Xenopus tropicalis: one gene and its partners. Each later gene encodes a partner of the first gene's protein in a complex. Links are inferred from orthologs where the notes say so. Each region holds a gene or a part of one and is shown in the gene's direction. Other genes may lie near its edges.

Region 1 (4,146 bases):
TTTATTTTTTAGTGTTACTGTTCCTTTAAGCCCACTTTTGAGATCTAATATTTGCTCAGTGTCCCCTTAGCTTTAACAAGGTTAAAGTTAATATAAGACGTTGCTAGGGCTTAAAGAAGGAAAGTCATTTTGGCATTTTACTGCCAATTTATTCACCACATTAGTGCCACCTAGAACACTATATTTATTCTGCAGAAAGCTTTATCATATCTGAGTAAAGAGCCCTAGAAGAAATCCTGTGTTTCTTTTCATAAAGGACTCTGTGTATTTACATAGACTTTTCTGATAAAGCTTAATTAGTTTTCACCTTTCCTTCTCCTGTAATTACCCAAAGGAAAGCAAAATTAAAACTATATTTTTTTAGTTGAGAAGACACCTATTTCTACTGTATGCTGCAAATAGGTGGATTGATAACTGAAAAAAACTCACAAAATAATGAAGACCAACTAAAGAGCCATTAGAATATGTCAATCTATAACACACCAAAAGTTAATAAAGTGAACTTTAACTGTGATTATCCTGTCTGTGAGCAGTCTGTGTCCTCTAAGGATCAGTCACCTAATAACCTTGGTGGACTGGACCTGAAAATTGGGTAGAATACTGTTTGTGTCACAAAAGCAGTAGTGTTCAGTGTTCTTAATTCAACTTTATCAGAAACCACAACCAGCTCATCACTTCTCAATACCACTAGATCTCCCATATGCTTTTGACATTGTTGATTACCCCTTCTCCTTCAGGCCCCCCATTATCTGGGTCTTTGCGTATCTGCCCTCTCAAGGTTTTCCTCATATCTTTCAAATCACTCTTTCAGTGTTCCCTAACAATGGACGATCATCTTTCTGTCTGGCTCTTCAATAATGATGAGCAAATTTTCTCACCAGGCATGGATTCCCAGCAAAATTCCGCATTTCTGCAGCCTTGTCAAAAAGGCGTGCTTGCACCAAGAAAGGCGCAAATTTTTCTGCAAAGCAAAACAGGGCAGATTCACTCATCACTACTCTTCCAACACTTTGTCCTAGTCCCCTAGTCCTATTTCTGTATACTCCTTTTGCATCAATTCAAACAATTTATGATATTTACAATATGCTGACATTACTCTAAACTCTCCATTACATGTCTTAACTCGGGTCATATACCGGTATATCTCTAATTGGACATCCCACTGCTACCGTAAAGGAAAACCAAGGGATCACCCATAAGTGAATGCTGCCACGATAGCCAGGGAAATCTGCATTCCCTTTGTTGCTTTATAGACAAGTATTGGATCGTGGGTTAGCAACAGGATATACCAGTCCAGCAAGTAACTGACCGCCTCAACAACCAGCTCTGATTGCACCATAATTACTGCTCAAACGCGCACGGACAACAGATTCATCAAACCACAAACAAAGAGCTGCCTGGCATTTCTACATTTCTCAGTTTGCAAATATACTAAGAAAATATTTTCAGACTACTAATTTTACTCCGTAAGCCTAGCAGAACTGTGTATTTTATTTTACTTTTTCTTATGTCGAATCTTGCGTTCCGAATCATAAGTGCTGTAGCTCTGTGACTGGCTGACAGAGTGACGTGGAGCTTCTGGCAGCGCTTCCGGGTGTGAGACTAAAGCAGCAGGATCAGCAGCAGCTCCTGCGTCGGCCACTCTACCGCTTAAGATGGGTAAGCCTGGGCCTGGGGCTGTACGGCCTGCGGGAGGGGGTTCTTACAAGTTAAGGGTAGGGACGTTGCTCGCACTGTAAATGGGTTGTATATGATATGTTTATAGTTAATGTTTGTATCCATGTATGCCCATAACGCACTAATGGTCATAGGAGTCGTTTGGCGACAGCTGGAGAGTACACAAAGCCCCCACCAGCCCAATAAATAGTGAGTGTCTATGGCATCTTACAGCAGCCCCTCTGGCATTTGCCACAATCCACAGATTGCCGGTCTGGGCCCTGGGTCTTGTGTAGTTGAACATTTATGCAGAGGTTTCCTTATGGCACTTTCCCATGCAAACATGTATGTAAATGTGTTGTACTCAGGCCTGGAATAGAATTTCAACTACACAAAGGCCCAAACAGCCTTCCACCATGTTGTTGAATGCCAGATAATGAAGCCAGTAACCAGCCCAATAAGTAGCGACTGTCTACAGTATCTCACAGCAGCCCCTCTGGCATTTGTCTCAATCCATACATTCCAAGGCCGGGCTTGGCACCCACCAGAAATTGTGTCCAACGCTTTCTGTAAGTCTCGTGCCATCATTACAGGGATAGGTCCTCTTAAAATTAACTTTTATTATGTTGTAGACAGCAGTGTTCTGAGAAAGTTTGTATCTGATCTTATTTTTTTTAACAGCTGCCCATTTTTTCAGGTTTAGTTACCCTAGTAACCAGGCAGCCATTTGGATGCCATAATGGGAAGATCAATAGGATTGAGACTGAAAATTAAGATAAGCAATAGGAATGTAAACCGAATGGAAATGGAACCTGAGGCGGATCAGCCTACATATAAACACAGGCAGCAATCCACCTGCACACTTGAAAAATCTTCTACTTATGCCAGCACCTAGAAGCACTGAATCCACCCGGGTACAGGCACACACAGGCGATATTCACCAACTAACGTGCGACTTTGCAACCCTTGGTGGATATCGGCTGTGTGTGCCTGCACCCGGTGGATTCAGTGCTTCTGGGTGCAGGCACAATTGGAAGATTTTTCAAGCAAATGGGCAGATTATCAGTCTGTGCTTACATGCGCATGGGGCCTTAACCTAACAGTATGTGTTTGTGGTTGCTGGGCATCAGTCACTCTGGCACCCAGAGTATATTTTTAGTTGTATGATGGGAATAGGCAGGCTTATAAATAAGAAAGCATACACAAAAAGTAATAAAGACAAATTTAAACATTATTCAGATTTGGTTTCCTTATAACATACTAAAAATACATATAATTTAAAACTCCCATAGCCATCTTTCTAGCAGTGCTGCCAGATTTCACCCCTGCAGTGGTACTCACCAGATGCTTGGTACTGCCAGCAAGTAAAGATATACAGAATAAATAATCAGTATCAAAGCAGTATTGTGTGTTATAGCCTTTTCTCACATAACTATTATTGGTAAACCTGCAGCTTATTGTATACAGGTATCTACCCCTACAGCCTTTTAGCAACAGCTGGGGGGGGGTCACAGGCTGGATATCATTTATATGTGATACAATTTCATGAAAGTTTCTGACTTTCTTAGGGCTCTTCTCCCTGTGTTCCCCTGTGTGGATCTTTCATGGGTTCCTCAGGGGACTGCTGGAAAAAAGTCAGCTCCTTCTTTCAAATGACTTTGTTCTCACTGAGGCACCTGAATACAAAGTCATTTAAAAGAAGGGGCTGTGTTTTTTCAGCAGTCCCCCTGAGGAACCTATGAAAGATCCACCCAGGGGAATGCAGGAAGAAAAGCCCAAGTGTAAGAACTCAAAGCAGAATGATCATGAAAACAAAAAGTGATGCCTGGGAAAATGGGACCTTAGCAATTTAATTCATTATGGGTGCCTAACCAGTGAATGAGCTTTTCACTGTCCTTTAAAGTGATACTGACATGAAAAAATGACTTTTCAATTTATGAATCTACATAAAAAGTTACCTATAGGTCATGTTGATCTTTTTTCACTGTTAGGGTTGGTTTTGTATGTAATTGTTGCTTGAAGTTCCTAAACCTGACTGTTTTGCCAGCCTGACTGTCCCTTCTCAGCCTGTCAGTTATAGCTTCTAGTGCTAACGGCCTACTGCTGCACAAATATGGCAGCCCCCTCATAGAAGAACATGGGGGATCAGATAAGGAATGGAAAAGCATCAGGAAATACTTTTTTGGCAAAATTATAAAGCTCATGCAAAGACAATGTTATGATAGATGTAAAAAAGTTTTCATTTCTGGTGTCATTATATCTTTAACTCTGTCCGAGGTTCTGGTAACTGTTGCTCTTCAGGATTAAATTGGTCCCGTAGAACTCATTGTAAATGACCAAAGGGGCATTTTTTCCTAAAGCGTTGGCATCTGGCTATATGAGTCAAAAGTATACACAGAGTAATTGCAGGGCAAAGCATTTAATATTAAAAATAGCATTATGATTATATTCATTATCACTAATAAGACATAGTGTGACTTCTTGATTTCA
Region 2 (4,248 bases), on another chromosome or scaffold:
CACCCCACCCACCCACCCTACTGCCCTAACTCCCTGCTGCCCCCACCCACCCCCCACCCTACTGCCCTACTCCCTGCTGCCCCCACCCACCCACCCACCCACCCTACTGCCCTAACTCCCTGCTGCCCCACCCACCCACCCACCCACCCTACTGCCCTAACTCCCTGCTGCCCCCACCCACCCACCCACCCACCCTACTGCCCTAACTCCCTGCTGCCCCACCCACCCACCCACCCTACTGGCCCCCACCCACCCTACTGCCCCCACCCACCCACCCTACTGCCCTAACTCCCTGCTGCCCCCACCCACCCACCCACCCTACTGCCCCTAACTCCCTGCTGCCCCCACCCACCCACCCACCCTACTGCCCTAAACTCCCTGCTGCCCCCACCCGCCCGGTACCTGACACACACTCTCACACACACTCTCACACTCTCACACACTCACACTCTCACTCACACACACTCACACACACTCACACACACTCACACACACTCACACACACTCACACACACTCACACACACTCACACTCTCACTCACACACACTCACACACTCACTCACACACACTCACACACACACACTCACACTCACACACACTCTCACACACACACACTCACACACTCACACACACTCACACTCTCACACACACTCACACTCACACACTCACACTCACACTCACACACTCACACACTCACACACACTCACACACACTCACACACTCACACACACTCACACACACTCACACACACTCACACTCTCACTCACACACACTCACACACACTCACACACACTCACACACTCACACACACTCACACTCTCACTCACACACACTCACACACTCACTCACACACACTCACACACACACACTCACACTCACACACACACTCACACACACACACTCACACTCACACACACTCTCACACACACTCACACACTCACACACACTCACACTCTCACACACACTCACACTCACACACTCACACTCACACTCACACACTCACACACTCACACACTCACACACACACTCACACACACACACACACACTCACACACTCACACTCACACTCACACACTCACACACTCACACACTCACACACACACTCACACACTCACACACACACACACACACTCACACACACACACTCACACACACACACTCACACACACACTCACACTCACACACTCACACACACTCACACACACACTCACACTCACACACTCACACTCACACACTCACACACACACACATACTCACACTCACATACTCACACTCACACTCACACAGTACCCCGGTACCTGACACACAGACGCCGCTTCCGGTCACATGGGGGGAAGGTCACAGGGAGATAACGCGAGAGGAGGGGGAGTGGCTCAGGCGGATCATGTGACCTTGCTGGAATCACGTGACCGGGGCAGCTGAGAGAGAGAGAGAGAGGGAGGAGCCGCGGTACCGGGTAACACTGGGGGAACTGGAGGGCACCACGAACCGGAAATACCGGGACCCCGGAGACTATGTAAGGCCCAGGGTATCCCCTGTCCTACCCCCCTGTCCTACCCCCCTGTCCTACCCCCCTGTCCTACCCCCCTGTCCTACCCCCCTGTCCCACCCCCCTGGGGCAATCCCTGTCCTACCCCCCTGTCCTACCCCCCTGTCCTACCCCCCTGTCCTACCCCCCTGGGGCAATCCCTGTCCTACCCCCCTGTCCTACCCCCCTGTCCTACCCCCCTGGGGCAATCCCTGTCCTACCCCCCTGTCCTACCCCCCTGTCCTACCCCCCTGGGGCAATCCCTGTCCTACCCCCCTGTCCCACCCCCCTGTCCCACCCCGGAGACTATGTAAGGCCCAGTGTATCCCCTGTCCCACCCCCTCTGTCCCACCCCCTCTGTCCCACCCCCTCTGTCCCACCCCCTGTCCTACCCCCCTCTGTCCCACCCCCCTGTCCTACCCCTGTCCCACCCCCCCTGTCCTACCCCCCCGTCCCACCCCCCTGTCCTACCCCCCCTGTCCCACCCCCCCTGTCCCACCCCCCCCTGTCCTACCCCCCCCTGTCCTACCCCCCCCTGTTCCACCCCCCTGTCCCACCCCCCTGTCCTACCCCTGTCCCACCCCCCCTGTCCCACCCCCCCTGTCCCACCCCCCCTGTCCCACCCCGGAGACTATGTAAGGCCCAGTGTATCCCCTGTCCCACCCCCTCTGTCCCACCCCCTCTGTCCCACCCCCCTGTCCTACCCCTGTCCCACCCCCCCTGTCCTACCCCCCCGTCCCACCCCCCCTGTCCTACCCCCCCTGTCCTACCCCCCCCTGTTCCACCCCCCTGTCCCACCCCCCTGTCCTACCCCTGTCCCACCCCCCCTGTCCCACCCCCCCTGTCCCACCCCCCCTGTCCCACCCCGGAGACTATGTAAGGCCCAGTGTATCCCCTGTCCCACCCCTCTGTCCCACCCCCTCTGTCCCACCCCCCTGTCCTAACCCCTGTCCCACCCCCCCTGTCCTACCCCCCCCGTCCCACCCCCCCCTGTCCTACCCCCCCCTGTCCTACCCCCCCTGTCCCACCCCCCCTGTTCCACCCCCCTGTCCCACCCCCCTGTCCCACCCCCCTGTCCTACCCCCCCTGTCCTACCCCCCCTGTCCTACCCCCCCCTGTCCTACCCCCCGTCCTACCCCCCGTCCTACCCCCCCGTCCTACCCCCCTGTCCTACCCCCCTGTCCTACCCCCCCTGTCCTACCCCCCCTGTCCTACCCCCCCTGTCCCACCTCCTGTCCTACCCCCCTGTCCTACCCCCTGTCCTACCCCCTGTCCCACCTCCTGTCCTACCCCCTGTCCTACCCCCCCTGTCCTACCCCCCCTGTCCTACCCCCCTGTCCTACCCCCCTGTCCTACCCCCCTGTCCTACCCCCCCGTCCTACCCCCCCGTCCTACCCCCCCGTCCTACCCCCCCGTCCTACCCCCCCTGTCCTACCCCCCCTGTCCTACCCCCCCGTCCTACCCCCCCTGTCCTACCCCCCCTGTCCTACCCCCCTGTCCTACCCCCCTGTCCTACCCCCCCCTGTCCTACCCCCCCTGTCCTACCCCCCCCGTCCTACCCCCCCCCGTCCTACCCCCCCCTGTCCTACCCCCCCTGTCCTACCCCCCCCTGTCCTACCCCCCTGTCCTACCCCCCTGTCCTACCCCCCTGTCCTACCCCCCTTGGGCAATCCCTGTCTGTTACTGTCATTGGTACCTACCCCCACCCCGACAATATCTGCCCGGGGTACCTACCCCCCTAACTATAACTGCCCAGGGTATCTACCCCCCTAACTATAACTGCCCGGGGTACCTACCCCCTAACTATAACTGCCCGGGGTACCTACCCCCTAACTATAACTGCCCAGGGTACCTACCCCCCTAACTATAACTGCCCAGGGTACCCACCCCCCTAACTATAACTGCCCAGGGTACCTACCCCCCTAACTATAACTGCCCAGGGTACCTACCCCCCTAACTATAACTGCCCAGGGTACCTACCCCCCTGCGTGTAATCACTGCCAGTACTAATGAATGGTCTGTGTAATGGCCTGTTACTGTCATTGGTACCTACCCCCCCCCCCCCACCCAAAAAAAAATATCTACCCAGGGTACCTGGGACAGACACAGGGAAAGGGACAGACACAGTGACAGTTACACATAACTATAAACCCAGTGAGAATGAGGAATGAATGGATATTGGGGAGTTGTATCAGGAGTCAGAACCAGCAGTGCAGGGAAGGGAAAGGGACAGACACAGTGACAGTTACACATAACTATAAACCCAGTGAGAATGAGGAATGAATGGATATTGGGGAGTTGTATCAGGAGTCAGAACCAGCAGTGCAGGGAAGGGAAAGGGACAGACACAGTGACAGTTACACATAACTATAAACCCAGTGAGAATGAGGGATGAATGGGTATTGGGGAGTTGTATCAGGAGTCAGAACCAGCAGTGCAGGGAAGGGAAAGGGACAGTGACAGTTACACATAACTATAAACCCAGTGAGAATGAGGGATGAATGGATATTGGGGAGTTGTATCAGGAGTCAGAACCAGCAGTGCAGGGAAGGGAAGGGACAGACACAGTGACAGTTACACATAACTATAAACCCAGTGAGAATGAGGAATGAATGGGTATTGGGGAGTTGTATCAGGAGTCAGAACCAGCAGTGCAGGGAAGGGAAAGGGACAGACACAGTGACAGTTACACATAACTATAAACCCAGTGAGAATGAGGG
Region 3 (3,595 bases), on another chromosome or scaffold:
CTGTGTGAAGTGTGGATTATTGGATCATTTGGAAATGTAAAACCAAGTGGTCTTTTTAAATTAATAAATAAAATTTCAATTTATTACATTCCTAACAGCAGTTGTTGTCAAAGTTTTAAATGGTTTTCGTTTGATACTAATTTGGATGTTTTCATTGTTGACAGAGGATTCTTGACCTTGAGAGTTCTGTTGCTGAAGAAAGTAAGTCCCAAGATTTTGTAAGCCTGATTGAAACAGAGAGAAATAATCACAATGCAGAAGTAGCTACCATCAAAGAAATGCATAAGCAAGATCTTGATGTCCTTGTACAGGATCAAGAAAGGATATGGTCAGAAAAGCTTGAGCTGCTTAAGAAAGAGAATCATACTAAGATTATTGAACTTAAAGAGAAGTATCAGCGAGATTATGATTCTCACTTGAAAGAGAAAGAGCATAATTTCCAGGAGCATATTGAGCATATGAATGAAAAAACATTAGAAAAACTAGATGTAAAACAAACTGAATTGGAAACCCTCTCAGCTGAACTGTCTGAGGCTATAAAGGCACGGCAAGAGATTGAGCAGAAACTTACAGACACAGAAAATGAGATTAGCAAAATAAAACTAGAGTATGAAGCCCAGATAAAAGAAGAAAGAGAAAAACACAGTGAAGAAATTGGTTCCATTGAAAGAGAGAAGGAAATGCATACTCAGGGTGTTGAGAAAGACTTGAAGGAAAATATTAACAACCTAAAACTACTTCAAGATAGTAAAGAATGTGAGTTGGAAGAATTCAGAAAGGAAAATCAAAAGCTAAAAGAAGCTGCTGAAAAGGCAGAAGCAGACCATAAAGAAGCATTTGCTCTATTGGAAGCAGCCAGGCATTCTCATGAGATAAATACACATGAGAAAGAACAGGCTTATGAGCTAAAATTGAAGGAGCTTCAGGAGATGCTAAAAGGTATGACGCAGGAGCGAAACGATCTTAAAGAGGTGACAGAAAAAGCAGAAACACAGTTAAAGAATATGCAGATCGAGCTGGATTCTAACAAGGCCCAAGTACAAAGCCTTACAAAGCAAATTCATGAGGAAAGTATGAATATGGCAGATAAACTTAACACTTTGGTACTAGAGTCTGAAACTCAGGTAAAAGGGTTGAAGGAACAAATAGAAGAGATAAGCAGAATAGCTTCAGAGCGTGAACATGAACTTAAAAAAGTAAAAGAAGATCATATTCAAATTATTTTAGACCTAAACAATACTATATCTGAAAAAGAGAAGAATATACTTTCTTTGCAAGAAGATTACAAAGTAAAACACAAAAATCTGGATGCTAAAATGGAAAAATTAAAGCAGAAGTTTAAAGAGCTGCAAGAATCATCTAAAAAGAAATATTCAGAGTTGGAAAGCAAACTTAAGAAAGAGATCGAGAAGAAGCAGAACGAGTTGATTAACAAAGAAAGGGAGTTTAATGAAAAAATACATGAGATGGCCCAAGCAAGTTCAACTGGAATTAATCATGCAATGGCTCAGCTTGAACTGAATCATAAAGAGCAGATTCAGAATATGACAGACAATCATCAGAGAGAATTACAGGAAACAACAGAAGCTTGTGAAAAGAAATTAAGCCAACTTGCTGAAGACCTTAGAGAGAAGCACGAAGAAGAACTTCAGGAGAAAGATCAGGTCATAGCAGAATCAAGAAAACAGTTTAATATCAAGAATAAAGAAAAAGAAGATGCAGACAAAGAGATATCAGACCTCAGGGAACTGAAGACCCAAATGGATGCCACGTTTAATGATTTGCAAGAACAGCTGTGTCAGTCAGCAGCTCAAGTTTTACATTTGACACAGAGTGAAAATGAATTCAAGACAAATTGTACTCGGCTAACAACGGAGAAGCAAATTCTTCAACAACAGCTTGATGAACTGAAAATATTAGCAGAGGAAGATAAAAGCAAGAATGATGAAATAGTTAACAAGGTGAGACTTGCTGAAGAAAAGTATCAAGACTTGGAGACCCTGCACAATAAAGTGAGAGCAGACTTTGCTAAGGAACTGCAGGATAAACTTGTTGAAAAGGAAAATGAGTTTAAACACCTTTTGGTTAAACAAGAAAACCAGTTGATCTTGTGCTGCAAAAATGCTGAAGATTTATTTGAAACACTTGCAAATGGACTCACTGAAAACCACAAATATAAGTTGAATGGATTGATTGTTAAAATAGCAAATCTTGAAAGCTGCATGCATAAACTAAAAGAGGTCACTTTAAAACAGCGTAGTAGAATATATGAACAAGAAAAACAACTTGAGCAGTTTTCAAACGAACTTCTTTCAGTAAACCAATCTCTTAATCAAGCAACTCAGGAGAAAGAATTTGCTACTTTGTCGCTAAAGAATGAGATTGAAGCTCTTAATTTTCAAAATGAGATGTTAAAAAAAGAAGGAGGAAGTCAACAGCAGGTTGCAGATGAGAAAGAATCTTGCATTACTCAGCTGAAAAAAGAACTTTCAGAGAATATAAATATTGTGACTTCCTTGACAGAAGTGGTAAAACAGAAAGAATCTGAGGTATCTTCTCTTTCTGCCTTAATTAATGAACTTAAACTGAAACATGAGAATTGTGTAGATTTAACAGAAAAAGAAAATGCAATTGCTTTTCTCACTGCACAGCAGAAACAGAGTCAGCAAGAGCTACAGAATCAAATTCAGGATCTAATGGCAAAGATTGAGGTTCTGAATAAAGAAAAATCTGCACAAATAGATGAGGCTGCTAAACTTAAAAATAAGTTGGATGAATGGAAGAAAAAGGCAGAACTTAAATTTGTGCAGAACCACAACACTATTAAAGAGCTAAAAGAGAAAGTTGAATCAGTCAATAAGCAAATTGTTGAAAAAGATGAAAAACTTAGGACAGTGACAGAAGAATTTGAATGTCATCGTAGCAATATCCAAGAAACACAACTCATGAGTGAAAGCAAAGAATTTGAATTAACTACCCAGTTGGAAGGCCAGAAATCTAAAATTTCGGAATTGGAGGACCAGTGTTCGAAGCTGATGTCTGAAAAGAAAAGTTTGATGGATCAAATCGAAATTCAAACTATTCAGCAGAGTGAAGATAAGAAAGCACTGGTTGAGCAACTCCAGCATATTCAGTATGCTTCTGACAATAACTCCAAGGAAGTGCAAAATAAAGTTATAACACTTGAAAAAGAAATTGATGCTTTAAAGGAGAAACTTGATGCAGAGCAAACAAAATGGCAGCTGGAGAAAGCAGAGTGCTTTCAGCTGAAAGATAAGGAATTAAAAATATTGGAAGAGAAACTAACTGCAGAAAGCACAAATAAACTTTCAGAGCTCAAGAAAAAAGCTGAACAGAAAATCGCTTCTCTTAAGAAACAACTTATGTCTCAGATAGATGAGAAGGAGCAGTCCAGGAAAGCGCTGGAAAGCCAGCTAAATGTCTTAAAAGATAATATGCAGAAAGAGAGCCAGGAAGTGCAGGAAGGATTGCAACAAAAAGTTGAAAATCAAGACAAAAAATATGCATTGCTACTGGAGCAGAAGAAAAATACAGAAGCAGATTTAGCTAATATTAGAAGTGAACTAAAATTAAA

Evidence for each region.
Region 2: the proteins of arl1 (region 1) and arfip2 are in contact, whole or in part, in a crystal structure (PDB 4DCN), measured with the Homo sapiens proteins. The link is inferred for Xenopus tropicalis from reciprocal best matches to the Homo sapiens genes ARL1 and ARFIP2. Residues at the interface, in NP_001168.1 of Homo sapiens: Glu17, Arg19, Gln38, Ile46, Ile49, Gly50, Phe51, Asn52, Val53, Glu54, Thr55, Gln64, Trp66, Ile74, Tyr77, Cys80, Tyr81; in NP_001363487.1 of Homo sapiens: Phe205, Thr212, Lys216, Thr217, Asp220, Asp278, Ile281, Lys282, Phe285, Leu286, Glu288, Asn289, Lys292.
Region 3: the proteins of arl1 (region 1) and golga4 are in contact, whole or in part, in a crystal structure (PDB 1UPT), measured with the Homo sapiens proteins. The link is inferred for Xenopus tropicalis from reciprocal best matches to the Homo sapiens genes ARL1 and GOLGA4. Residues at the interface, in NP_001168.1 of Homo sapiens: Ile49, Gly50, Phe51, Gln64, Trp66, Ser73, Ile74, Pro76, Tyr77, Cys80, Tyr81, Ser83, Glu115; in NP_002069.2 of Homo sapiens: Thr2173, Glu2174, Glu2176, Tyr2177, Lys2180, Val2181, Glu2184, Glu2190, Thr2193, Lys2196, Val2197, Thr2200, Val2201.

The regions. Positions count from the first base shown.
Region 1 is NC_030679.2:48,817,185-48,821,330, reverse strand, and holds the start of arl1 (ADP-ribosylation factor-like protein 1), read left to right. Parts: upstream 1-1,312; 5' UTR 1,313-1,655; coding exon 1,656-1,659; intron 1,660-4,146. UniProt on the Homo sapiens protein: GTP-binding protein that recruits several effectors, such as golgins, arfaptins and Arf-GEFs to the trans-Golgi network, and modulates their functions at the Golgi complex.
Region 2 is NC_030678.2:180,359,191-180,363,438, reverse strand, and holds the start of arfip2 (arfaptin-2), read left to right. Parts: upstream 1-1,414; 5' UTR 1,415-1,514; coding exon 1,515-1,516; intron 1,517-4,248. UniProt on the Homo sapiens protein: Plays a role in constitutive metalloproteinase (MMP) secretion from the trans Golgi network. May have important functions during vesicle biogenesis at certain cargo subdomains, which could be predominantly utilized by secreted MMPs, such as MMP7 and MMP2.
Region 3 is NC_030682.2:60,987,841-60,991,435, forward strand, and holds part of golga4 (golgin subfamily A member 4), read left to right. Parts: intron 1-164; coding exon 165-3,595. UniProt on the Homo sapiens protein: Involved in vesicular trafficking at the Golgi apparatus level. May play a role in delivery of transport vesicles containing GPI-linked proteins from the trans-Golgi network through its interaction with MACF1. Involved in endosome-to-Golgi trafficking.